7 linked regions of the Coturnix japonica genome follow. The protein of the gene in region 3 interacts with the protein of the main gene of each other region in a biochemical or structural test. Links are inferred from orthologs where the notes say so. Each region holds a gene or a part of one and is shown on either strand. Other genes may lie near its edges. The genes, in order: EVI5, NET1, DLG1, SLC16A3, ARHGEF16, FRMPD4 and MTMR1.

What was found.
Region 1: the proteins of DLG1 (region 3) and EVI5 interact in a test that uses a peptide from one of them, tested with the Homo sapiens proteins (2 studies listed by IntAct, with this or other methods). The link is inferred for Coturnix japonica from reciprocal best matches to the Homo sapiens genes DLG1 and EVI5.
Region 2: the proteins of DLG1 (region 3) and NET1 form a complex in vitro, tested with the Homo sapiens proteins (3 studies listed by BioGRID and IntAct, with this or other methods). The link is inferred for Coturnix japonica from reciprocal best matches to the Homo sapiens genes DLG1 and NET1.
Region 4: the proteins of DLG1 (region 3) and SLC16A3 interact in a test that uses a peptide from one of them, tested with the Homo sapiens proteins (2 studies listed by IntAct, with this or other methods). The link is inferred for Coturnix japonica from reciprocal best matches to the Homo sapiens genes DLG1 and SLC16A3.
Region 5: the proteins of DLG1 (region 3) and ARHGEF16 interact in a test that uses a peptide from one of them, tested with the Homo sapiens proteins (2 studies listed by IntAct, with this or other methods). The link is inferred for Coturnix japonica from reciprocal best matches to the Homo sapiens genes DLG1 and ARHGEF16.
Region 6: the proteins of DLG1 (region 3) and FRMPD4 interact in a test that uses a peptide from one of them, tested with the Homo sapiens proteins (2 studies listed by IntAct, with this or other methods). The link is inferred for Coturnix japonica from reciprocal best matches to the Homo sapiens genes DLG1 and FRMPD4.
Region 7: the proteins of DLG1 (region 3) and MTMR1 interact in a test that uses a peptide from one of them, tested with the Homo sapiens proteins (2 studies listed by IntAct, with this or other methods). The link is inferred for Coturnix japonica from reciprocal best matches to the Homo sapiens genes DLG1 and MTMR1.

The regions. Positions count from the first base shown.
Region 1 is NC_029523.1:12,241,728-12,245,645, reverse strand, and holds the end of EVI5 (ecotropic viral integration site 5 protein homolog), read right to left. Parts: intron 1,768-3,918; coding exon 1,462-1,767; 3' UTR 501-1,461; downstream 1-500. UniProt on the Homo sapiens protein: Functions as a regulator of cell cycle progression by stabilizing the FBXO5 protein and promoting cyclin-A accumulation during interphase. May play a role in cytokinesis.
Region 2 is NC_029516.1:1,180,296-1,184,333, forward strand, and holds the start of NET1 (neuroepithelial cell-transforming gene 1 protein), read right to left. Parts: upstream 2,801-4,038; 5' UTR 2,734-2,800; coding exon 2,633-2,733; intron 1-2,632. UniProt on the Homo sapiens protein: Acts as a guanine nucleotide exchange factor (GEF) for RhoA GTPase. May be involved in activation of the SAPK/JNK pathway Stimulates genotoxic stress-induced RHOB activity in breast cancer cells leading to their cell death.
Region 3 is NC_029524.1:10,829,498-10,833,580, reverse strand, and holds the start of DLG1 (disks large homolog 1), read left to right. Parts: upstream 1-1,283; 5' UTR 1,284-1,566; coding exon 1,567-1,585; intron 1,586-1,657; exon of another isoform or gene 1,658-1,694; coding exon 1,695-1,826; intron 1,827-4,083. UniProt on the Homo sapiens protein: Essential multidomain scaffolding protein required for normal development. Recruits channels, receptors and signaling molecules to discrete plasma membrane domains in polarized cells.
Region 4 is NC_029533.1:4,252,907-4,256,402, reverse strand, and holds part of SLC16A3 (monocarboxylate transporter 4), read left to right. Parts: intron 1-9; exon of another isoform or gene 10-240; intron 241-645; 5' UTR 646-666; coding exon 667-889; intron 890-1,257; coding exon 1,258-1,401; intron 1,402-1,683; coding exon 1,684-2,451; intron 2,452-3,259; coding exon 3,260-3,496. UniProt on the Homo sapiens protein: Proton-dependent transporter of monocarboxylates such as L-lactate and pyruvate. Plays a predominant role in L-lactate efflux from highly glycolytic cells.
Region 5 is NC_029536.1:866,203-870,408, forward strand, and holds the start of ARHGEF16 (rho guanine nucleotide exchange factor 16), read right to left. Parts: upstream 2,801-4,206; 5' UTR 2,770-2,800; coding exon 2,461-2,769; intron 1,755-2,460; coding exon 1,224-1,754; intron 758-1,223; coding exon 706-757; intron 432-705; coding exon 262-431; intron 1-261. UniProt on the Homo sapiens protein: Guanyl-nucleotide exchange factor of the RHOG GTPase stimulating the exchange of RHOG-associated GDP for GTP. May play a role in chemotactic cell migration by mediating the activation of RAC1 by EPHA2.
Region 6 is NC_029516.1:111,279,105-111,282,604, forward strand, and holds part of FRMPD4 (FERM and PDZ domain-containing protein 4), read right to left. Parts: intron 1,897-3,500; coding exon 1,758-1,896; intron 1,217-1,757; coding exon 161-1,216; intron 1-160. UniProt on the Homo sapiens protein: Positive regulator of dendritic spine morphogenesis and density. Required for the maintenance of excitatory synaptic transmission. Binds phosphatidylinositol 4,5-bisphosphate.
Region 7 is NC_029519.1:16,417,385-16,420,884, forward strand, and holds part of MTMR1 (myotubularin-related protein 1), read right to left. Parts: intron 2,406-3,500; coding exon 2,292-2,405; intron 1,435-2,291; coding exon 1,258-1,434; intron 1-1,257. UniProt on the Homo sapiens protein: Lipid phosphatase that specifically dephosphorylates the D-3 position of phosphatidylinositol 3-phosphate, generating phosphatidylinositol. Could also dephosphorylate phosphatidylinositol 3,5-bisphosphate to produce phosphatidylinositol 5-phosphate.

The sequences.
Region 1 (3,918 bases), on a different chromosome or scaffold from region 3:
AAAAAAATCCCCAGAGAATTTAATCAACGTAATTATACTGTTAAGAGTATTTTATAGAACAAAACAGAACAGTTAAATCCAGAAATCCACCATACATAACTCTTCCGTTCCATCTCAACACACACACACACACACTCAGTAGCTGGTGCAGTTAAACCAGACACTGGGATTTCCACACAGTCTGCACTAACCTCGTTATTACAGCTCGGTGCTGGTGGTTTTTAGCCCCCAGGACTGGCCCAGGAGATCTGCGTTATCCTCCATTATTCGCCCTCTCTCAAAACGTGCTAACGATGGCTATTCTGGTGACAGGATCTGTACTAATTCTCAGATAACAGCGATACAGAACTGCAAGAAAATTTAACTGAGATACTTTCACTGCACCGATGCCTTCATTAGAATTGTTAGCTGGAATACACAAATCATTTTCACCTTATTCAAACTACCAGGGGGTAACTGAGGGCTGTAGCTCACAAGTGACTGGACAGTAAAAGCTGCAACCTTGTTAAATTGTGAAAAATTTATTTTCATTACATATATATGAAGGTAGAAGATTTCAGTCAATAGTGTTTTGAACAAGCATTTCAGTTAGACAGGAATCTGTTAGCGTAGCTAGACCAAAACTAAATATCAAGTTAGTGTTTTGCTTTTATTCAGCAATTCATCTCTAGTGTGCATGTACAGAATTCATTTTCCAGGGAGAACATGAGACAGTCATATCGCAACATTTACATTCCTCGTATAAAATGGTATAATATACATTTTCAGCTTGGTGCAGTTATATAAATATGTACAAAATAAACATTATTGTAGTTAATATATTCAGACCAAGTATTATTTAGCAACATCAAAAGCAGATGCACATAAATCTAAAGTGAAAAGGGTGAAAAACACCTTTATGACATTAGTGACCAGTACTTGTATATAGGAAGTAGTATAGATGAGGGCTCCTCTTTCAAGCCTTCTGTGGGCATTTGGTAACTTTAATAAAACAGAAGTAGTTGAGAAGCATAATATATATATGTGCCATATGATCAGATGGTTAGAGTCCATCTTTATCACAAATGGGTAATGATGTAAAACATACACATTTGTTCAGAGCATAAAATATTGCACTAGAGCGATTTCTTTTGAGGAAAATAATTCCCATCCTTGTGAACAGCAAAAAGGTTTCTTGCACATTTAAAGAAATTATATATTTGCAGTTTGTAAAACAAGGAACATTCAGTAATACTGTCAGAACTGTCTTCCATTAACTTCTTCCCAGCCTGTTTCACAGCAATGGTACGTCACTAGCAAGATTTGGCAAAGAGAAGGCAGATGGACAGTACATGTGTGTATGCATCACAGGCCACAACAGATCCAATAGTTACCTAACCCAACTGCTGGATGCCTTCAATTATCTGACAACGTAATCCTTAAAGAAACACAAGAGTCTTCAGGCGCTACTCACAGTGATCATCACACGGTAGTAGAGTAAGATTCCATTCTCCTCTGTTTGGAAACCACCTTGTCCAAGGTTCCAGTCTGGAGTGTGCTTTCTTCAGTCTCACTGTCACTGCTGTCTACAACTGTGTGATCCAAAGCCATCTGACCAGTCCTCCTGTGTAAGTGAAAGCCTACCCCACTCTCCTGTATGGAGTTAGCTATAAAATCTTCATCAGAAGAATGAAATGACTCGTCATCTCCTGTGAAATGGTTGACAATGTGAATCCCATCAAAAGTGGGTTGGTCTGAGAAGTCTCTCTGTCCTTTTAAGCATTTGATCTGTTACAAGGAAACAAACAAACAAGTGGGATTTAAACTAATCGGAGCTGAAGAGTCCAGCATCAAAATCAAAACAGACCACTCACCATTTCCAATAATCTCTCCTCAACAAATTATATTAGATGTTAGAATCACGATATTTCCTAGTCACTTTTGGAAGCAGAACCAAAGGACTTCTCATTTCTGGCTGTCCAGAGAACTTGAAGGAATACTTTAACTATTCTCACACACCCAGACCTCTCCAGTTTTAAAGCTTAATAATCAAGGTACCTAGAATCACAAATGACAGATTTCTCGATGCTACACACTGCATCTTTAGCACCCCCATGAGAATGGGGGACTGCTGGTTTTCTAGAATGGACAACTCATTTGGACAGTGCTTTGTAAAACCTGAAGCTGTAGCAATTCTCCTGTTCATTAAGTCAGAACAGCCACAGCTCCCTGAAGACTCCCCCTGATAGTTATTCTTTAGAAATAAACTCGTCCTACCTTTTAGTAACAATTTCCTCAGACTCAGTCTGACAACTGGGAAGTACTATGCTAAGAATTCTAAGGAATGAGAAAGACACTGAAATGCATTACAGGAAGTTCCTAACGTCACTCCTGTCAGCTTCAAAAGGAAGATGCATTAAGTGCTGTTTTGTAAGCAAATCTTAACAGTACCAGATCTGGAAAGTAGAGAGAAAAAACCTGGGGAGCTACTTACGTCACAAACCTATTCCATGTTTCAGAAATTTGAAGCACTATTCAGCTTGATAAATAACAATGTAGGTTCTTGCTGTTTATATCAGTAACAGATTTTACCCATCCATTTGGGGAAGAAGGAATTTCTATATTCACCTTGGGCTTATGTAAGAGATACAAACAAAAATGTTTGGATAAAAGATTGCAAGAACCGCAAGCATTCTAGAAACCGCAGATCAAATGTAGTCAGCATGTAAAAGCTCCATGTATCCGATCACTTCAATGTTTATTATAATGTTCCTCTTAGGAACACAGGTTCATGCTGTAGACCTACAACGTGGATGCAGCTATACATACTAACTAGTATTGGCATGTTCTTACACTTAATTTGCTGCTGTTTCATGAGGAACTTGCTTTAAAGACAAGCGAAACAAGTTTCACACTGCACAGCTCATGATGAGGGATCTCCTTATATCATGTGTATCAGACAGCAACGATTGTCAGGAACAAGCAAGTTACTACTTTACATACCTGGATACAGAGATTCTTGCATTAGTTAGAAATATCGTCCCTAAAAATATCTTGCAATACAATCAGCTGCCACATGGTATTTCCAGAACACCAATCAGTTTTATTCACTAAAAAAAAACTTACCCCGAAAAAACAGAACAGCCCTACAGCTCCTGTCCAGCATGACCAAAGGCTCAAAAGAGCAGATTTCACATGTCAGTGTGAAAGAAATGAACGCTTCCATGTCTGCACACTTACACCATCAGTTCATCTGAACTGTAAAGGTGATACTCAGTGTCAGCTGAGCTAAGAGCTAAGCTGGTGACCTCGAATGTTTTCCTGAAAGCTTCAGCATGTGATACCTTTGGATGAGCACATTTAGGAAACATGACAAAAATCATGGCTTGGCAGTCTCAAGCAGCAGCTTTTCCAAACACCAAGTATAAGCCTAAGAAAAAGGCTGTCGATAAGGAGAAAGTGATAACATTGGCTATGCAAAATCCTAAAGAGTGTGGGAAAACTAACAGGTTATTCTTTCATTAAAGTAACAAAAGGACAACAATCTGTTGCCTTCAAGAAACACTTCTTTTAGCCTGCAGCTTCACACTTGCCTGCCTTCTTTTTTAACTACTCACGTTCAAAAGGAATTAGATTGCTAGGAAGAAACATGAACATACTGGAGAGAATGTGTGACAAGACCATGCATGGTCATATAGTCCTGCAACATTTGTCCACTTGAGAAATGAGGTGCACAGTGAAATACAAAAACACTGTATCACAGAATTTGTATTACGAGGACAAAACTAACTGATGATGTGGGGAGTCCTGATACACGATAGGCTTGGAGAGAGCAATATCTCCAAGCAGTGAGCAAGGTTAACAGCACAGTACAGTGTATGGACAAAGGCACAACCAGCACATTATGGGACTGTTCTTACTCCATCTGTTACTCAGACC
Region 2 (4,038 bases), on a different chromosome or scaffold from region 3:
TAAATGAAGAAAAACAGAATGGGCTCCCTCTGTATGGGGAGAGACTGCAAAGATGGCTCTAGCTATCTGAAAAGAAGTAGAGAAAGCAAGAAACCAAATATATTGTATGCACACAGCAGAATGGAAAGAGGCACAGCAAGGAAAAATCCCATTAGATATAAAGAAAAATGCTTTTGCGCAATACATGTGGTCAAACCTTCAAATATAGAGGCAATGAGATTTGTCTTTGGATGATTCTGATCTCACCTGGCCAATGCTCTGAGCAATTTGAGCTAAGTCTGTAGTTTTAAGGGCTGGGACTGGAGACCAACAAGCTCCAGTTTGATCATCAAGACAATATTGCAGCATGTTTCTATGTAAATATGTATTTTAAGGCTCATTGAAACATCCCACCTTATGAAACACTCAACAGTTACAAAAAGCCATTATCAAAACCAACATTGTAACACCACCATTCACTGCAGTCCTGTCCACAAAGAACCAGAGCAGTGAGGAAAAGATCCAGATCACAGGTCCATAGACCCTGAACCTGTATCTATTTGAACCCAAATCTGCTTTTTACAGCACCTGCAAAGTTGGAGGAGTCATTTCCTGACCCTGAGGGCAATAATAAATACAAACCTGAGCCGATCAAACAGGGTTTGTCCTGATAAAAGTCAACGGGAGTTGAGTCACTCGGGTCAACTAGTGCCAATAAACACATCCATGTATCAGGGGTCAACACAGATAAGATCATCCACGGGTTAACTTAAGACATAACGTCTTGTTTCACAGGGCTGTCTCAAGAAAGGTCTCACAAGTCCAAGCACATCAAAATAATAGATGGTATACAGAGGGATTTAAAAACGAGAGTAAAAGCCAAGGCTGACACTGGATCTCTTCCATACTTAACAGAGTTGATCTAGTGTTATGACTGGAGGAGATCCTGGAAGCTTGGCTGAGCTGGTGATGGCAGAGGGAGATTAAGCCCAGCCCAATTCAACCCACAGAGCAGCCCCAAACTCTATTTAACCACACATTACACCCAGCCAGAACCTTGTAGAATACAGAACCTAAAATGGGTGACAAAGAGGTACAGGGAAACAGTGTGAAAAGAGAAATCAATCCCCACATTGCACCAACAACCACCCTGAGGAGCAAAGACCCTCTATTTCTTCTCCGAGCCAAATAGGGACTGCAAGCATCTCACACTTGCACAGAAACCAGTTGGAGACCTGAAATGGGACCAAATATCCCTATTACGGGACAGAAACAGGCAGGAAAACATGTGATAGCCTGAGAAACACCCCCCTCCCATACACATAGCATACAATATAACACTGGGGCACCCTATGAGCATTAAAGACACTCAGGAACCACAGACACATCCACCTTATAAAGCAGGGAAGCATAGAGCAACGCACCCACTTTATATGGTGTGAGGGGTCCCGTAAAGCCATTAGACACAAGGGAGCTGCCCCCGTCAGACACAAGGGAGCTGCCCCCCATTAGACACAAGGGAGCTGCCCCCCATTAGACACAAGGGAGCTGCCCCCCAGTCGACACAAGGGAGCTGCCCCCCAGTCGACACAAGGGAGCTGCCCCCCAGTCGACACAAGGGAGCTGCCCCCGTCAGACACAAGGGAGCTGCCCCCGTCAGACACAAGGGAGCTGCCCCCGTCAGACACAAGGGAGCTGCCCCCCGTCAGACACAAGGGAGCTGCCCCCCGTCAGACACGAAGGAAGCTGCCGCCCCGTTCAGACACAAGGCGAGCTGCCGCCCCGTCAGACACCAAGGGAGCTTGCCCCCCGGTCAGGACAAAGGAGCTGCCCCCCGTCAGACAGCGAAGGGAGCTGGCCCCCCGTCAGGACACAAGGGAGCTGCCGCCCCGTCCAGACACAGAGGAGCTGCCCCCCGTCAGACCACAAGGGAGCTGCCCCCCGTCAGACACAAGGGAGCTGCCCGAGGCGCCCCGTCAGGACACAAGGGAGCTGCCCCCCGGTCAGACACAAGGGGAGCTGCCCCCCGAGGAAGCTTGCCCCCCGTCGCAGACACAGGAGCTATGCCCCCCCGTCAGACACAAGGGAGCTGCCCCCCGTCAGACACAAGGGAGCTGCCCCCATCAGACACAAGGGAGCTGCCCCCATCAGACACAAGGGAGCTGCCCCCATCAGACACAAGGGAGCTGCCCCCATCAGACACAAGGGAGCTGCCCCCCGTCAGACACAAGGGAGCTGCCCCCCGTCAGACACAAGGGAGCTGCCCCCATTAGACACAAGGGAGCTGCCCCCATTAGACACAAGGGAGCTGCCCCCCTTAGACACAAGGGAGCTCCCCCCCCATTAGACACAAGGGAGCTCCCCCCATTAGACTCAAGGGAACTGCCCCATTAGACAGAAGGGAACTCCCCCCATTAGACACAAGGGAGCTCCCCCCATTAGACACAAGGGAGCTCCCCCCATTAGACACAAGGGTGAAGGGCCCCTTTAAGGATGTTTAAAGCACCATAAAGGCTGAGGAAAAAAGGGGAAACGTCCCCTTTATATGCCAGGAAGACGGGAATAGATCCCCTCCTCACTATATACACACATAAAGGGAGAACCACAGGCCTCAGCCCCTGACAGAAAGACGGGGAGACACGGCGGCTCCTACCGGCTGCTGTCCGCCGGGGGCGAGCGGCTGGCGCTTGTTCCAGCACTAACCCTCCCTCTTTTCCGCCGAGGGGGCTTCTGAGCCACGGGCTCGGCTTCCATGGTGAAGAATCAGGCTGAGGAACGGGGGGGGAAACCGGACGGCACCGCACAAAATGGCGGCGGCGAAAAACAACTGAGGCGGCGAACCGGCGGTTTGAAAATGGCGGCGGTGAGGGGAGGCAGCCAATCAGAGAGGAGGGTGGGGTGAGTTGCTAGGAGACGAGCGAGGGGGGGAGGAGTGTCGCCGCCGTTGACCACAGCGCCCCCTTGTGTCCTGCTGCTGTAACTGCAGGCTTGGAGGACCTAGGAATGGGGGAAACTGAGGCACGGAAGCCATTTTTCCTCCAACCCCTTCATCTTCCTCAATTCTCATCTTTTCTCCTCAGAAAACTCATATCCAACACCTCAAGGCCTCGAGGAGGGTAGCAATGTCAACCCCAACGCCTCACGGCCTCGAGGAGGGTAGCAATGTCAACCCCCAAAGCCTGAAATCACCTGATGAATAGAGGAAAAACACGTGTCCCTCTTGAAGCTTGAAAATGCACCTCTAAGAAGTGGGCTGGAATATTAAAAATACGCCTCAGAAATAGGCTTGTGTGTTAAAAATATACCCCAGACTGCCTCAAAATGGACACAGAAGTGGTTTAAATGTGGGATGTACCCCAGCAAGAGTGAGATCTGCGGCCTTATGGTGAAGCCTGCAGTGTCCCAGCGTGAAGCTGATGTGTAAACTGTTTTAAATGGGGTCTTAAATTGTGATGGTGATGGAAAAAAGCAGATGTCTTGGCTACAAACCCCCATAGATTCTGCCTTGGGAAAGCTATTATGCACCTGTGAGCTCCCACCAGCCCCAATTCAACTTAAGTGGTGTTTTGAGCAAGGTGCTTGAATGGGAAAGTGTGTCCTCCTTGGGTGAAATCTCATTTTTTCCTCCATTTTCAGCCCTTTCCCTCTGTGAAAAGTGGCTGTTAATAGGGAGGAAGAGTCTGTCCTGGAGTAGCAACCCCAAAGGGTCCCCGAAGAGACAGAGAGGTAATGGTTTATCTTCACTTAAAAACTGGAATGATCTCCTTTGGAATGCCTTTGGACCAGAAAATTTTGGCCAAGAAATCTCCCTTTAACAATGCTGGCACCCCAGAATACTGTGCTGGAACCACCTTTTGCAGTTTATCATCTTTATTCCAGGTGCAGGTTGGTCTCAACTTCTGTGCAGCTGTTAGACAAAATGCTTTGAAACCCATTAAAAACCCCACATACGTGCCAGGTATTGGCTGTTTTTTAGTCAGGAATCAGAAATGGATTCTTCAGGAGTACTAAAATACAAACCCAAACTTTTGAAGTGGGATCTGCAACTTGATTCAGAAG
Region 3 (4,083 bases):
CCCTTACTGCAGTGTATTGGTGAAAGGGCTGTTTGCATTCATAGGGTATTTTCTATACGTGCTGGAATTTCCAAACCATATTCTAAAGTTTCATACCATGAGCTCTGGTTCAACCACTCGGAATCAACAAATATCCCCTGGAACTGAAATAGCAGCACTAGGACCAGCCCCAATTGGAAGTGCATTAGGGCCCACCTAATTGCTTCCTGACTCACTGATCCTTCATCCTGACCCTTCTTTGATCTTTATTTTTTCCTTTTTCTGGTGCATGAGTGACAAGTGAGAAACGCCATCTGAGGGTGTTAGATGGGATTATTCCTCTATCCCCACAATGACCTTGCGTTATGGGATTCCATCTTAACACTGAAAAAGCATTCAAGTCCTGATTAAGAAGAACTTATTCAGTTCATTTAATTGCAAGTGTTTATTCATTTTTCGCTCTGTAATAAATGTTTTTGTCAGACAACAAACCAACCTCACTGCGTGGATATCTCCTTTCTGCTGGCTCAATCTGGGCTGCTCTTCTCCTCATGTACATGTACAACTCTGACACCACGGGGAATATGGACACTTTTAAAGTACGTTCAGTGTTGTTGTAAACACATGAAGCCAATGTCCATCCTCACTTAATATGGTCTCATTATAAGATATGTGGACTTGTACCAGAGAGTGCCAGATCCCTGATGCTACGGGAATTGGTAAAGTTCCCATAAATTGGTAAAACACACTGAATGCACGTTGTTTTCTTCACAGATCTACACGGGCTCTTCCATGGCAGAAAGCTGAGGGATGAACGGGGCTGGATCAGAGCAGAGCTCTGTGCTGGGTCCGTTTCCTTTAGGCGTGTTCCACAGCCGAACTCAGCGCTGGTTTTTGACTATCAAACCCACGTCCATTCCCAGGAGGTTCTTCCCTTCCACGGGGATGTTCCCAAGCCGAGTCTGTATCCGAAAAACCAACAGGAGATGCAGCCTGGGATGGGGAACGGCAGCAGCGGGATGGGCTCTGACTCCCAGCTCTGCCTGCGGGACACGCGATGTGCACGTGGGCTTTGAAGTGCTTTAGACATAGAAATAAGTGCATAGACATAGTGAGCAATAAGTTCATAGACATAGTGAGCAATAGGTGCTATGGACACAGTGAGCACTAAGCGCTATGGACACACTGAACCTCTCACCTTGCCTCCTCCCCCCGCCCCTCCGTTAGGTACCGGCCCCGGGCCGCTCCGTGCGCTGATTGGGCGGCAGCCGGGCCCGGTCACGTGGGAGAGGGGGGGTGCTCTCCCCCCAGCCTCCAGGCCGCCATTTTGGCTGGAAAGTTTGGAATTCCCGAGCGCTGAGCCGGGCGGTGGTTGTGCTGCTGCTGCTGGTTGTGGTGGCGGCTCGCCCTGCCCTGCCCGGCTACTATCAGCCGCCCCACCGCTGGTCCCGACCCGTCCCTCTCCTCGCTGAGCCGCCCCGGAGGGTCGCTGTGCGGGGCGGTCCCCCCCGCTCCCGGCCGGCAGGGGGTGCGCGCCGCCGCCGCCCCGAGCCGGGTCGGGCTCCAAGTTGAGGCGGCGGAGCGGCCATGCCCGTCAGGAAACAAGGTGAGCGGGGTCCCGGACAAAGGAGCCGCGTGGGGCGGTCCCGGGGGGTGGTCGTGGGGCACCGTGTCCCACCTGTGTAGTGCTCACAGAGTCTCGTGTTCGGCCGTAGATACGCAGCGCGCCCTGCGCCTCCTGCAGGAGTATCGCTCCAAACTGAGCCAGGCGGAGGATCGGCAGCTGCGGAACTCCATCGAGAGGGTCATCGGCATCTTCCAGAGCAACCTCTTCCAGGCGCTGATCGGTGAGCGATGCCCCTCCTCTAGGGTCGGGCTCTTGTGTGTTGGTGGTGAGGGGAAGCGAGTTGTTGTGTTGTCGGAGCCCTCGTGTCCCTCAGTGCTGTGTGTGTATCACGCTGACACGTTGCTGTTGCAATGAGCTGTTTTCTGTCACTTACTTTGTATGAGTTTTCTGCCCTGGCGCTGCAACGTGTCTGTTGTGGGCTGTGCCGTGCAGTCGGGTTTTCCACGTCTGTTTCTGTGGGTTTAAACAATTTATTAGGAATATGTTTTAGTTGTGAGCCCACGTGTCCACAATGAGTGAGCTGAAGTGGTTTTACTCTTAGAACTCGGGCAAATCTCCCTGCTGAAGGATCCCTAAAAATGCTGCAAGTTGTGTATTTCAGGAGCAGAATTAAAGTGAATGGAAGGAAACTTCTCATGTTGCAGGTGGCTGTGCTGACTTTTTCCTCTTCGGTTGTGAAGTGCAGTGAGAACCTCACTCATTCCCAGCTTCAGAGCACTTCTGGTGCTTTTTCTCTTTAGCCATTAATGTAAATATTGCTGAAATCATTCCGTGAAGCCTTGAATTTCCTGCACATCTCTTAGAAAACAAACAGAGCAAAATAAACACGTGGGGTATGAGCACAACTTGCAGAATCCTGACCTGACTTTGCAGCTTCTCCAGGGAGGCAGGGAGCTGTGGTTTCTTCCTGATTGGTTGTCACTGCGTATGTAACAGCTTGGAGTTTCATGCCCTTCCCTTTTAACAAAGTAACTTGCACATAAACTTTGTTTTAACATTGTAGACAGTCTGGGTTTCAGCTGTTACTTCGCAGTTACATGGTTTGAAGCCTATCTCACAAGTTTACATCTTCATAGTGCTGTGTCTTTGTGTTGTGGTGGAAACATGAGGAGGGTTGAAACATCGCTGCACATGAACTGCTTTCTCTTGGAGCATTTGTATCATCTGCAGGTGGGTTTTCAGAAGTTGGGCATCTTATGGAACATCTCCTGTATTATGTTCCTGATAGATGGTTGTTCAAATGGGTCTGTTCTCATAGGACACCTCTAGAAAGGGTTCACTTGCAGGAGCTCAGTTGATGCTCAGCAGCTCCGTGATGAGGATCTGCGCGCCTCTGTGTGATGTGTGTGAACAGACTTTGTTCTTTGCTGAATGAAATCATTGAAGTTGTGTATCGGAAGCTTAATACTGTGGTTATGCTTCTTATTTTCACCTGGGAAATCTCGCTCTTAGTTATTAATTGAATGAGATACAAGTCAGTAGTACGGAAATGGCCTTTGGTATTGTAACCTGTAAGACACACTTTATTCTAAAATCTGTAACAAGAGCCAGGTTGTCTGTGTAACTTAGCTCTTGGCAGTAGCACTCTTCAATTGGGGTTGCCACGTGCCTGCTGGAGGGCTTCATGCCTTGTTTTCTGATCTGTCAGAAGTTCTGTTGTAGCCGTGGGGTCTTTGATTCTGTCCGGTTCAGTTGATCTCAGCGTGCACAAATAGGTGTTGTGCTATTTGAGAGCATTTCACATTCATTTTGCATTTAGTGGTTAACTGTGTGATTGTATGTTAAGGAGCGTGCTTTAGTGCTCCAAGCTGTTCCTCTGAAATGTGATAGCAGAGAGTCACTTCCCAGCAATTGATGCTGTAACTTCAGTATTCTTCCTTTAACCTGCTCCATGGAAATGAGTTGGAGAAGTACTTGCTCATGGCAGGCTGCTCCTGGCAACATCTTTATACACTGGGACTACTGCTTGGTGCCCCCTGGGAGGGGGTCAGCTCCCTGCAGGGAGTAGGGGGCTGCCAGGAAAAGGTGCTGTGAGAGATGGCTGTGTTGGCTGAGAAGCCCTTGAGCACTAACTGCCCTCCTCCTACCTGTCCTCTTGCAGTGGAGGCTTGTGAACAGGCTGGACAAAGCTGTGCTGCTGGTTGGGCTTCCCTTGAATATTGCACTTGTAATTATCTTGTAGCTGATTTTTCAGGTGTGACTTTTATAGGAATTGTGCTGTGTCTCCAACTTAAACATCCACAGCTGCACTGACAGAAGCTTCCGTCCAAGCTCACATACTTTCCTTTAATTCCTTCAACAGATTTTAGTTCAGAAATCTTGCAAAATTGACCTGTTTCTTACATACAACAGTCTGCTTTAAAATGACTTGAATTAGGGCAGTGGCGACTCGGTGTGAGCAGTGTTACAAAATTGACGTTATCACATCAGTGTTATTTCTGTAAGTGAAATAACTGCAGTAATTTTAAGTCAGTAAC
Region 4 (3,496 bases), on a different chromosome or scaffold from region 3:
CGGCGGGCGATGCGCTCCCTGCCGGGCGGACTGGCAGCACCGCACGTAGCGGGCAATGCTCGGTCCCAGCCCATCCACCGTCATAAGGGAGAACAAACCATCCTGAAACGGGAACAGGTCACTGTGTTACAGACCTTCAGGCTTTGATCTACCAGCCCCAAACTTGTGATAGTGCATCTCATTATATTGCTATGGCTGTCAGCACGTCGGCCACCTGTGGTGCCATTCACCTGCACTCAGGTAAGGCTATTAACAGTCATACATTCAGTGCTCACTTTTCTACACAAGAAGCCTGTGCCAACCAGGCTGGTCCTGAAATAAAGCTGTAAAATGGCTTTGTTCCTGGTGACCTGCAGTTCCCAAAGCATTCTGTAGTAACAAACACCCTAATCAATTGCACTTTAATGATCAAATTGGATACACCTAAGCTTTTATGCTTGTTTGGGCCAGGACTTGTGATCCATGTACCAGGATTTCACATCCAGGTGTCTTGAGTAGACCAAGATCTTCCTCTACCAATGTCTTGTAACAAAAACTAGATGTTTCCTTCTAAAATAGTCTGTAACTTCAGCTGTAGCAACGTTCTGCCTTTTTGGGATAGATAATTGTCCCAACAGGTAACAACTCATTTTTCTTATTTCTTAGGGAACCCTCTTGATCTGCATCATGGGAGCAGTGGTAGTTGATGATGGTCCGTCTGGTGTTAAAGCTCCCGATGGAGGCTGGGGCTGGGCTGTCCTTTTTGGCTGTTTTATCATCACGGGATTCTCCTATGCCTTTCCAAAGGCGGTCAGTGTCTTTTTCAAAGAACTCATCCGGGAATTTGGCATTGGATACAGTGACACCGCGTGGATCTCCTCCATTCTGTTGGCCATGCTTTATGGAACAGGTTGGTTGATTGGTTTTGAACATCATACAGTGTTGCCTGTAAATCATACTGACATTTAGTGTGAATTATGGTTCTTATTATTGCTCTTGTACTAGTAAAGCATTCAAAAAATAATCGTTTATGCACGTAAATCCAATAATTAATTAAGTACATACAATTTGCATATAAAATTAAACCTCTGTAACTCAGTAGATGCTAACGATGATGAAAAAGTGCATGGTAGTACAAAGGAATGGAATATCTGACTCCAGAAGAAAGAACATTGTCCTGATAGCATAGGCAGAGTGTGGAAAGAAATGTGAGCTAACATGAAACCATTGGTAAAAACTGGTTTAGCTTTGCAACTGTAACTTACTCTCTTTGCCTAGGTCCGCTCTGTAGCGTGTGCGTCAATCGCTTTGGCTGTCGCCCGGTCATGCTGGTAGGTGGCCTTTTTGCCTCCATGGGGATGGTGATAGCCTCCTTCTGCACGAGCATCGTTCAGATCTACCTCACCGCAGGGGTGATCACCGGTAAGCAGCACACGTGGCTGGAACGGGCTCAGCCTATGTCCTGGCAGCAGGCTGATGTTTCATACTACCAATGTATCTCAACGATCATGATCATCTTAACAGGTTTTTATTAAGATAGTGGATAAAATGGTGTTCTCTTACACCTGTTACCATGGAACTCTTCTGTCCATCTGCAGTAAAACTAATCTTAAGTCATCAATCAGAACAAATGCAATTGATTCTTTCTTTTTTTTAATAGCACTACGGGAGGCCTGGATTAACTTCTTGTCCCTTCTGTCGCAGGTTTGGGTCTGGCACTCAACTTTCAGCCTTCGCTCATCATGTTAAACCGTTACTTTGACAAACGCCGACCCTTGGCCAACGGGTTGTCTGCTGCTGGGAGCCCAGTGTTCCTTTGCGCCCTTTCACCGCTGGGGCAGATACTACAACACGAGTATGGCTGGAGAGGAGGATTCCTTATACTGGGTGGGATGCTGCTCAACTGTTGTGTTTGTGGAGCATTAATGAGACCTCTGGAGCCACCCAAAAAATCTGAAGCTACCAAAGAATCTTCTGAGAAGAAGGCAAAGAAAAAACTCCTGGATTTCAGCGTGTTTAAAGATGGTGGTTTTGTGATCTACACGCTAGCGGCATCTATCATGGTGCTTGGCCTCTTCGTTCCCCCAGTTTTTGTTGTGAGTTATGCCAAGGATTTAGGGAATCATGACACCAAAGCAGCTTTTCTTCTGACGATTCTGGGATTTATTGATATCTTTGCTCGTCCAATTTGTGGAATGGTAGCTGGTCTCAAGTGGGTTAGACCGCGCTGTGTCTACCTCTTCAGTTTTGCTATGATTTTTAATGGCTTTACAGATCTCATGGGCTCCATGTCTGTTGATTACAGTGGCCTGGTGGTCTTCTGCATTTTCTTTGGCATTTCTTATGGAATGGTAGGTGCTCTTCAGTTTGAAGTTCTCATGGCTATTGTTGGCACTCAGAAGTTTTCCAGTGCTATCGGCTTGGTGCTCCTGGCAGAAGCAATGGCAGTTCTCATCGGTCCACCATCAGCAGGTCAGTATTCCACGTAGTTGAGAATTCAAACCCATTGACATTGCAGGGAGGAAAAGAGCACAACTCACTCACAGTGTACACGCTGTCCTTGTGTTGTACGTATTTACACGACTTTGTGCAGTTAGAACAAGAAATAGCCCCAAACAGGGAAGGATGTTTTGTCCTTCTTGTATCTGTTTCCAAGGACTGGTTGAGCTGCCATTTGGAGGTGCTGCTCTTTTTGCAGTGAAAGCCTGAAGTGCATATCCTGTTAAATGGCATCGTGTGGGTTTCCATGCACAGGAAATGTGATCAAATTCAGACCTCTTTGGAGCTGGAGTTCAGAATGAATCCCATCAGTTTTATTTTGAAGGGAGTAGGACAGATTCTCTGTACCTGTGGTAGGTTTGAAGGATGAAAGAAAAATTCAGAAGAGGAGGGGAAAAAAACAAGAAGGGCTTTAAAGCATCAGGATTGTTCCAGGGAAGGCAGACTGATTGCACTGCACACGTCTTGTAACCCCAAAGCATGGCAACACTGCAAAACATTCAAATTCCTGAATTCATAAGGGCAATTTCATTCACAAAGTGCATAAATCTAACGGGCTGCACCAAAGAAACCCAACAAACAACCCTACGGGTTGAAGTACGCAGCAGTTGCCTCATCTCTTGCATCTGAAGGGAATGCTTTTTCTTCAGTTGAGCTGTCAGTGTGTGCAGGTGTGGATGTGTTCTAGGATGTGAAGCACTTTCAGTCAGTGCTAAGCTGAAGTGGAATCATGGAAATACCTTGTTGTAAACTTATTTACCTGCACTATTGTCTTTTTCAGGAAAGCTCTTGGATCTAACACGGAGGTACATGTTTGTCTTTATTATTGCTGGAATTGAAGTTACCACCTCAGCGCTGGTATTGGCCTTGGGAAATTTCTTCTGCATTAAGAAAAAAACAGAAGAACCACACACAAAAGAAGCAGCAGCAGAAAGAGAAGAATTAAACAAATCGGAAGACAAAACTCCCGAGGATGCCAAGGTGGACTCTATTGAGGTGGAGCAGTTCCTAAAAGATG
Region 5 (4,206 bases), on a different chromosome or scaffold from region 3:
GGAGCCCAGCATGTCCCAGCTGGCCCCAAAGCATCCCACAGCACAGTGCTGCAAGATGGGTGGCATTTCTGCCTTTAAAAACACACGCTGCTTTCTGTTTCCTTTCAATGAGCAAGGCACCTGCGTGTGCCATGAGGGCTACTTGCAAGGATGGATAAGCAAAGGTATAATCATTAACAACACGGAGTTTGCTGCAGGTACAGCCTGGCCCTCTCAGACAGAGCAGAAGAGATAGGAAAGAAGGATGTTGGCACACAGTACCTCTGGGAGCTGGCTCCAGGTGACCTGTGCGGGTCGATAGCTCCGCACCACGATGGCAGCACCGGGCAGGGACGGCTCCTCGGGGAAAGGCTCCTCCAGCAAATCCTCGTCCGACTCATGGCTGACGGAGTTCAGCCCTCGCTCCCGGATTTCCTGGTACAGCCGTGGCTCTGCGTGGGGAGAGGTGCAGAGTGAGCACAGCCTCCTGCAACCCGCCTCGCCCTGCTGGGACGGACTTTGCACAGCACTGGTCAAGCAGCAGCTTGCACGTCCCCAGCAGTGTTTGCTCTGAGCAAACAGAGCCAAATTGCAAGCTACAAGTACGGCTGCGCCCTCCCCAGCAAGCAGGAGTGCAGGGGCACACGTGCAGCAAAGGGACTGGAAAAGGGAGAATACATGACAGCACAGAGGGGGGGCCATGGGGTGAGGACATGCAGCACTCACGGTCCTTGAATGAGCCTCCGTGCTTCTGCACCCGCTTCCGGCCGAGGGATTTCTGCAGGAGGAAGAAGAGGAGCTGCCACTGTGCTGCAGAGCTCACACCATGAGTCCCAGTGCCAGCAGCTGCATTCAGTTCCCTTGAGAAGGGTTGCAGCCTGCACACAGTGCCCTGCTCCCCCAGCAGTGACTCAGCTCCAGCCTAACCCCAGTGTTATCGGGGTGACCATCTCAGCAAGCTTTGCCACTGCTCGCTGCTGTTCCCATCTGTCTGCCCCACACCTGGACTTTGCCTGCCCGGCGCCTGGGTGCTGGCAGTGCTGCTTTGCCCACACCCACGCACTACCCGCAGGAGCCAGCCCATATTCCATACCTTCTGTGGACCTAAGAGGCTGCTGGTGACAGGCAGACTCCCAGGCTTGGCTCACCAGGCTCAGCCAGCCCCACCAGGTGCAGAGCAAAAGATGCAGCTCAGCCCACCCTGTCCCCATCCCCACCAGGCTCCATCCCTGCACCAAACCCACCTTGCTCCTGCCAGGGCTGCGGGCAGGAGGAGCGCTCCCCTCCTCCGCCAATGGTTTCAGTGTGGGGACGGTGCTCACAGGCTCCATCTCCATTCCTGTGCCCTTCATGGCTGCACGGTACGACATGTTCCTCAGGTTGCGTTTTAACATCCCTCCTCCATCCTCCGTGTCCTCCTGCAGTGTGATGCTGGGGACAGATGCTCTCTTCTGCCCTGAGCACGCAGCTTCAGGGCTGGATCCAGTGCTGGGGTTCCGCGTGGGGTTCTTGGTCTTGGTGGAGACCGCCAGGCTCCGTGGGATGAGCTGCTGTGTGCCCACCTTCAGCGCAGCCGGGCTGTCGGTGCTCAGCACGATGCGACGTGGCTCAGCCAGGGGGAAGCAGCCCATGGTGGGGTCAGGATTGCGCTTGCCTGGAGGAGAGGTTGGTGCTGGGGGTCCGGAGCGCAGCGGGTGGCAGCGATACTCCAGGAGGAAGGTCTGGTCATCAGCTGGTGGGCTGTGGGACATGGCAGCGGTGCAGGGAGCGGAGAGCTGTGCAAGAGACAGACAGTCAGATGGATGGACAGGGAATGAGCACTTTCCCCTGCTAAGGCTGAGGGTACAGGCATGGCACAGCTCACAGCGCTGGGTGGGAGCCTGGAGGAGCCCACACTGACCATCACTGTACTGCTGGGGACCCCACACGGCTCTATTGGGCACTGATCCTGACAGACCCCAAAGCCCGGGGGCAGACCGGCCGATGGGTGCTCAGCCTCAGCTCCCTCTGGGTGTCCCCAGAGCCCCTCCAGCTCTCGGCTCCATTGCTCCTTGTTAGGAGCTAAGCTTGCCCACCCCCTTCTGAGCCACACAGCACCCTGAGCCCCCCCTGGATAAACACCACATACATCATTCTGCTGCTCTATTGCATAACTCGAATTAAAACTCGGCTTTAATTACTACAAACTGAGATCCCATTGTCCACCACGTCTGAGCTGCTCCCTTCCAAAGGCCACGGGGAGCAGAGCACAGCCCGGACCGGGACCCATCTCCTGGCACAGGGACAAAGCAGCGCATCGACAAAAGCCCCAATGATCCGGGGCGCTTCTATTTCCCTGCGTTAAGGGCAGGGGGGGGTCAGACGGTTCCTCCTTTCCCCCTCCCTAAACTGCAGACACAGCCCCATCCCCATCAAAGGACCCGGAAGGATTTGAAAAGAGCCCCCCAGGTGCACCCCATGGAGCCCCTCCCCGCCCCATACCTCGGCTGTTTCGCAGCTGCAGGCGGTGCTGGGAACCCCCGACGGATCCACCCCCGTGTGCGGGGCGGACGGAGCTGCGGGACGGGACGGGAATTCCTCCGGGTGGGGCCGGGGGTAAAGGGGCCGCAGGGCTGAGGCTGGAGGGGACCGCTCCGCCCCGAGGGTTAAGGCCGGTCCCGGTTCTGAGCTTAATTTCGGTCCTGCTTCCCCCCCGGGGGTCCCCGTGCCCACCCCGGCCGCAGCCCCGCACCTACCGGGGCCCCGGAGCGAGGGAGGAGAGGGGCTGGGCCATAAAGGGGGCATGGCCATATAGAGGGGGCGGGGTCACCCCACGGAGGGGGCGGGGGCAAGAGCTCAGCTCACCTCCAGCTGTTGTCCCCGTGTCCGTCTGTGTCGGGTCGGGGTGATGATGGACGAGCCGAAAAGAGATGTAAATTCGATTTAAAAAGACATCAGGGTCAGCTGTTCCCTCCCCCCTATTGCTCTTCAAGGCAGCCGAGCAGCCTCGGGTGTGCAGCCGGGCCCAGCCCGTGTTGATGGGAGCTGCCCCGGTGCCCCCCTGGGGCTGGGGGTGTCCCCTGGTGTCCCCTCTATCAGATCTGTGCTATCAAATGTCCTGGGAACCACCTTTCCCCTGACCTCCCCCTTTTGCCCCCGCTCTGATTCTGTTCCCCATTAAAAAGGAGCCTTTTTCTCCCTGCTTTATGGCGGATCTCAAGTGCTCGCTGGATGACAAAGTCCCACTTGTCAGCGGTGCCCTGTAACAGCTCCATCCCCCTCCCCAAACCCTGCCCGACAATCAGCCCATTATCAGCACTCCCTTACCCGATGGATGCTCCTCCAGTTCCAAGAGCCACGAAGCTGCTGCACTCGGCTGAGCCCCAAACCATCCCACGAAGCACTGAATGTGATCCATCCTCCAGCCATCACGCCGACCTCCTGAAGCAGAGAGCATGAAATCAGCTTGGCAGCACACACCATTGGCCCCAAAGCCCCGCTGTGCTCAGCCCCATCCTTCCTTACCTTGCAGCAAAGCATCCACCGATCTCACGCCGAAACAAAGCTCACGGGACCACGGCTTATAAAAGCACACAGGTTTATTGCATATCAATCTCATGTATAAATTCATCGTAGCATTGGAAAGATTACATTTGGTATACATTCCTATTCTACAGCATTAACCTCAAAATCAGCTTTTTCCTAGGCATTATTTCAAAGGAATTTCTCTACACGAGTACGTTTTGTCTTTTTATCACAAGCATCAAAAGGAACTCTGCAAAAAAAAACCCAAAAAAACAAACCTCTTCAAATTATTTTCTACACTTTGCCTCTCGTTTCATTGCGCGCCCAACAAAACCATTTCATCTCCATTAAGAACTGCCAACGTTTTCCTTTCTGTCCATCTTTCGGGGCAGTTGGAGGCTTCTGGCCTCGGATTCAACCATCTACTCACATATACAATAAGTGCATCTACGGGATTTGTTTCTCTTTTCATAAAAATCTCACAGACAGACACCATAATGACCGCTAAACACAAGTCATGCACCGTTTACTTATAAACATAACAGAAGCAATATACAATCAAGAATGATATGGAACAAGCACCATCCTCTTTTCTCAATGTTTTTTAAACATTATGTGAAAACCAGACATTTACAATTGATTTTTTTTTCCTTAAAAAAAAAACAAACCCCAAAACAACACTATACAGCCCTAAAGGAAAAAACCCAACTCCATTATATCCGT
Region 6 (3,500 bases), on a different chromosome or scaffold from region 3:
AGCTTAATAACATTAACAGCAGTTCCATTACACAATATGGAATATGATGTATGGAAAATGATGGCCAAAAAAAAAAAAAAAAAAAAAAGGAAAACCAAAATGGAGTATTGGATGAGATGGAATGATTTTCAATGAATAAACGTAACTATCGTGAAAGAACCTGAATTGTCACTCGTCTGCTGTTCCTCTGAAGCAGCCAAAGCTTCTAGTGCTTGAAGAGTAGAGACTACAGCATCATCTAGCCCCTTCTCACACTTCCCCTCTGTATTAGTAGGGACAGCATCGATAAGCGACACTGGAATGTCATCACTGCCTAGATTACTGGCTTGCTCCTTGTCGTCTCTAGGCTGTGTTGCTTGATTCTGAGAGTCTTCCTCATCTGAACTGTCCCTGAAGCCAGGTGGAGGAGCAGCAATGGCCATGTTTAAGGTATGCAATAGGAAATCGTCTTCATTATCATCACCTTCTGGAGGTGGAAGTGAAGTCAAATCAATAATGTCATCATTAGAACCAGAAAGGCTGAGAAGAGCAGGCCTATTGATTTCTCCTACCATAATGTCTTCTTCACAGCTTACTTCATCTTCATCTTCGGCATCATCCGTGTTTTCTGCATAACAAATATCATGCAGCAAAGGCTCTTCTATCCCTTCTGCAGCTCCAAATATTTTACCATCACTTATGGTTGCGTAAACAGCATTTGTAGCAAACTGAATGCTTTCAGCATCTGGTGACAACTCCAGACCTTTAATGTCATTGGCATTATTAATATAAATGGCTCTTTGTTTTTCTAGTACTTCTGGACTTTCATCCAAAAGCCTTTCATAGCCAAGAGTCTGGGGATTGATACCATCCAAGTTGTGATCTCCAAATATAAAGGAAACTTTTGCTCCCCTAGGAGAATCCTGTGCTTTCTTGCTAGATTCCAAACCTGAGAGTGACAGTAGCGAAGGCTGATTAAAATTTCTACTTTCTTCTGTGTCAGTGGGGTCTTGCTTGGTCAGATGCTGATCAAATCCACCTGAATTATAGGTATTTTCTATGTACAGATGTCTGTGTTCTTTTTGACATAACAGACTTTCAGAAACATCTATAGCCTTCTGTTTAGGATCACCAAAAGACATTTGAGTCTCTTGATCTTCAGCCAGGAAAGTGGTAGTTTTTGGTACACAGTTCCACTCAGAAGCAAGGAGGTTATGCTTCCCTCTATTTTCAATTCCTGACACATGGGAGAAAAAAAAACCCAACAATTAGTTAAACAATAACTTGCTAATACTGAGCAATGAACATTCTGAACAGGACAGCTAGGCCATCAAACACTTCACAAAAGTGTTCTGAAGCTTGCTTTTGCTCTGAGATAAATAGCTGTTGATTTAATGACCCAAAGTTTAACTATTACTTTTGTAACTTAGAGCAAAACTAAACCACAGCTAGGTACAGATGCTATTCCAGGAGCAGGAACACAAAACCAAATTCGCAGCTGGTTTCCCCAACACCAGGTGTATTCTTATAAAGATATACGTATGCAACACAATAATGTTCATAGGTAGCATGCATCTGTTTCACTACACTTATGAAAGAAATTCATGCTATCAAAGGCTGAGTATCAGAACATCATAAAGCTGAACGAGTACGCTGTGGTGCCAGGTCTAAGGCAGCAACCCTCTCATTTGGCATTTGTATTTATCTGGAGTGTACTGGCTTAAGCTGACTTCTGCTCTACATCTGTGATCATCATTATCACACTGCGCAATGAATACCTGTTTCTCGGTTCCCTGCATTTTTCTTGTTGGCCATGTTGAATATGGAGCGCCTTGAGTCAACCAGCAGTCTATAGTATCCAGCTGTTAAGCAAGCAAGGTTCATTGCATCTGATGACTCCATCAGTAGCGTAATAGGCTGAGAAGAATACAACCAAGTCTTGGTTAAGGCTGTTCCTTCTCAATCTGTTTACCCGCCGACTATATTACTGCACAGAATTAAAGGAAATTACACTGCAAATACCACACTGAAAAATACACAATAATTTATTTTCCTCACTACTAACATCATGCAATACCAAATATTTTAAGGGAGGAACTTATAAAAGTAGATAAATATTCAAAAGGAGGGTGAAAAGAAGACAGAGCCAAGCTCTTTTCAGTAGTACCCAGCGAAGACAAGAGGCAACAGGCAGAAACTGGAACAGAGGAGGTTCCCTCTGAAGAGCAGGCAGCACTTCGTGTGGGTGATGAAGCAGTGGCACAGGATGTCCAGAGGTTGTGCAAATAAAAGACAGATCTCTAAGAACTGTCTTTTATTTGTTTTCCTTTTGCCACAGTAAAGAAAATAAACTTTTGTTTACATTTCTGGAGACTTTAAAACCAAACTCATTCTGAGGTGTCTATCTCCCTGAACTCACAGAGGAAATAGGAATTGCAACATCCTATCCATGACACACAGGTAGAAGTTACACAGCAGACAAACCATTACAGCAGTGACACAGTTCATACAGCTGTATGGACTTTTGTAACCTGAAGGCAACTGACTGTGATGGAGGAAATGGCCAAAACATAATTTATGTTCACAGCTTACCACCAGTCTCAAAACCGCTGTATGAACAGTTTTCAGCAACAAGGAAAAAACAATGCATTTTGTTTTCTTTAAATTATTCTATGCTACAGTATGAGGTTCTATTCAATGCATGCGTCTTTCAAAAGAATTCAAATACAGCTGTAAAATTACTTGCAAATTACTAAACCTACAGCAGGCTACTTAATATTTTTCCTTTTGGGTGACTACTTGAAATGTTACGAGTATCAATCTCATTTTTTTCTGCAATGATTGACAGAAACAGACAATCTCCAAAGAAGCCTCAGATTGCTGAAAACAGTGTCGTGCATTGCTGTTAATCTGAAGAACAGCCTTGTGACAGTTAGTTAGATTTTTACTGGCTGCTTCTCCCAAGTGATTTGTGGTTGAGAAGACATTACAAGGAATCAAAAATAAAAGAACATAACTGCATGTTTGCTATGAAAATGACATTTATTGGTATACTGGAATCTGGATATATGAAACTGATAGCTTAGCATATGCTAAGGTACGAAAACATCAGTTGAGAGTAGCTGTGTGTGCCCACATTTACTCAAGAAGAAACTGTTACATTCCATACTACTTCCCCACACTCTTTTGTTTTGTTTTGTCATATCAATCCATGGCCTCCTAACTTTGTAATTTTGATGTTAAACGAATGTCTCTGGGTTTAAGACCACATGCGTTGAAAGGCAAGGACATGGGGATTTAGATGGGGATATCCATGGTTTGCAATAAGACAACAACAGTATTATAATATATATATATAAAGTCATGTTAATATAAAATTCCATGGCATATAGTACCACATTTTATATGCAAGAAGATGGGAATAATTTAATTTCTGCATTACTTTCTCCATCAGAAAGACAGGATAACAGCTTTTACTCAAAAGGTCTGCAGGCTATGGGTTTAGCACAATATTACAAGCA
Region 7 (3,500 bases), on a different chromosome or scaffold from region 3:
TAAGTAAAAACCCAGAAGGAAAAACAAAAAACCACCTATGCCTCCTCCCAGTCAATGAATTCAAATACAACAGGACTGAAATCTAATTTTCTTAGGACAAGAAGTCAATAATGATGTAACACCGCCAAACCAAAACCGAGGAACATTTCACTTCACTTAAGAATTAGAATGACCTTGTTGAAGCAGAGTTTAGCATAAAAAGGAATCCACAGAACCCACCCACATTTAACCTCAGATTTTCTGGATACCTAACAAAGGACTACATCAAGAAAACAGAGTAAAATGTGGGGCAACAGGGAAGTTCAGAGGAAATACCTCAGTGAGCAAGCAAGCAACCCACATTTCTCCAGTACCTTACAGGGTATTGCTCAGATGCTTGGATCTCTAACAGCGTACTGTCCTTGAAACACATCTTTTTAAACAGGCTCTGACTTGTGGGTGTCTAATAAATCTGAAACTCGTGTCTCTTGCTAACTGTTAGAAGATGAAAGCAGCTTTCAAACAGTCACTCAATGCAGGTAATTTATCATTAAGTCGCTTGGGGATACCTTGAAATGTTACCTTAATAAAGAGACAGAGTAACATCCTCAGATATATCACGGCTGTGAAACAAACATAACGTACACTCTCAGAATTCTGAAGATAAAACACAGCATTTTTCTGATGAGACTTAGAGATTTGTCTGAATAGGAGACATTACTTATAAGAACAAATCCTGGATGAATCCAGGAACACACTACAGGAGCGTTTAATCTTTAGCATGCCAGCCTGAAAACAGAAAGGTCAGTGAAAAAACAAATATCTGTAAGAAAGCTTAAAGAGTCCGCAAATGAGTTGGTATGTAGACAATTCCTTTAAGAAACTGCTGTTGTGTTTTATAACATAATTGCTGAGCAGCAAAACATAATCAAAGCTACACTAAACTGCACAAGAAGGTTAATGCAACAGATGCACTGGAAGTGTTGTAAAATATTACATAAGTGTTGTAAAAGTAATCTTCTGAAAGGAAAGAATGCCTATGTCACCTTTCACAATTCAGTAAAGGGATACTACTACTATATTCCACTGGTGGGCTTAATGAATACTGAACATCTTGCACTGTTTTAATATCTATCTCAAGCCTTGTTTTAGAAAAAACATCTTTCTTCCCCCCATCAGCAACAGACAAGAATACTTTTCCTGGATGAATTGGACCTTATAGAAAACAGTAATTATACCTCTGTACTTTCAGGGAAACATAAAAGTAGAACCTCGTACCTGAGGCCGCATCCTTGGGTTCCATCTGACGTAGTAGCTGACCCACAGTTCCAAATGGTTCAGACTGGCAACAGGATACAGGACGTGGTTCTCATAGTTGACATAGAAAGGATTTGTGAATTCATCTAACTGGCTGTTTATGTAGGACCACAGCGATACAGTCCTGGTGCTTAACTCCTGAATTAAAAAAAATACAGAAAAATAAGTACATGGATTGCAAAATGTTGAAACGTGAGGTTATTATCTAGCTATCAGTATCATTGTGAAAGTCACCTGACTGTAATTACACTGTCCTGTATTAGCTGACTGTAATTACACCTGCTGATGACTAAACCGGCTTAAAACTCCAGCAAAACATTGAAACCTTGTTCCCTTCCAAGGCTAAATGAGAAGGGAGATTCAGGTATAACATTTTCAAAGACACCGAGTTCTAGTTGAGGAAGAGAAAGCTGTCTTGGTTGTAACTTACTGCAACGTCTGTAGCTCCTTAAATCTACAATTATATGTTGACCACTTCAAAACGATTTAAAAATAAGTTAGCCTTGAAAAGAAAAATCAAGGTTTCAAAACGTGAATCTCAATTACATTCATCTTGTGATTTTACACCCCTACAATGAGGTTAAGCATGTGCTTCTGCTACCTCTATGTCTCAAAACTGCATTTCTTTATTGAGAACTGCATACGACTAATTTATTAAGAAAGATGTTGGGAAAGCCTGCATTTGCTGAGAATATGTTATTCAGCTCCACCTTGTGGTGTCTGTGTGCAACTTTTTCCTCTACGGAAGCAGAGACAAACCTGAAATAAACAGATCTAACTGCCAAGGTGTTGCTACTGGCTCTAACGCAAACGTGAAGTGCCACAAACAAAAAAGCATTCATGATGTATTCCATGGAATTACATGTCCGTCATGCCCTCAAAGACTACACAGCAGTTGTATCCAAAAACACAGCTTAAGTTTTTTTGGGCCGTATGTCCTAAGCACTTCCACACAAAGCCAACAAATTAGGATGCGTATGTCATCAATCATTTACCTCTTTTAGCCTTTCCTTTTCACAGTTGCATAAGAAAGTCCCAAACAGACAGCTATAAAGGTGATCCAGAATGGTGATCAAAAATAACTCGTTGAATTCAAAGGCTGCAGGAAACTTAAATAAAAACAACAAAAAAGGTAAAAAGATTTTAAGCTGTATTTTAAGCAGCAGGAAAGGAAGAAACAAATAAGAAATAGCCAAAACACTTAGATAAGATTTTTTTTCCCCTCTTATTTAGTGATTATTTTCAGGAAAAGTAAGAGGTTTCCTTAACTTCCATTGCAATAATACACTTCACCTACATGCTTCTTCATAGTCTTCTGAGACAAACCTTACATTCATCATGCAAGTACACAGGGTTGCAAGCACAGAAATGTTAGCTAGTGTGAAACTGGTGACACAAAGCAATTCATTGTGAGGAGCCCTATCTAACAGAATAAGCTTTATTCCTCTATGATGCTTAAGAGCTTCAGTTCTAACATGCAGTGAGGTGGATAATAAACACAGATATATTTTAAATGTTTCTTATACTTTTTACCCAAGTTATGCCATTTTTCTTCATCTCACCCCTTAAGTTTAGCATTGGCTACATACAGTGATCTTTTAATCCCTCTTCTTTCTATATTAGAAAGTAAATTCTGGATATCCACACTGAAAGAAGCGTTATTCCTCTGATACCACCACACATTACATTCAAAAGCAGAGGTTACCTGACGCACTCTAGAATAAACACATGGAAAATCTGAAAGCACACAGATTACTCAGAATGCATCTTAATCCGTAGTACTTCAAAAATCAGATGGGAAGAAATCAATATAGAAGTGTATGGGCTGCTATCTATTCAGATGGAAAACGTCCTTCAATCATATTCATGATAGGACTACATATGGCAACTGCTTCATGTGTCAAAATAACTTTTCCATCAGAATGAGAAGGTTTAAAACACAGATACGGAATGATGAACATTTAAGAGAATAAACAAACTTTAATGACTCGAAGAAAATGTTATAAGCAGCATTTCCCCCCTTGCCATGAGAACGAGCATCTTAGGAGACACATTTTTAGGACAAATGAAAACATTTCTTCATTTCCACCAAAGGAGTGAATATCTGCAGAAGTCTAGAATGTAATACTGCAGATTTACCACCAGGAATTTCCTCCTCTATGTAAAATTCTCAAGTCAGAATTTCATAGAATCATAGAATCACA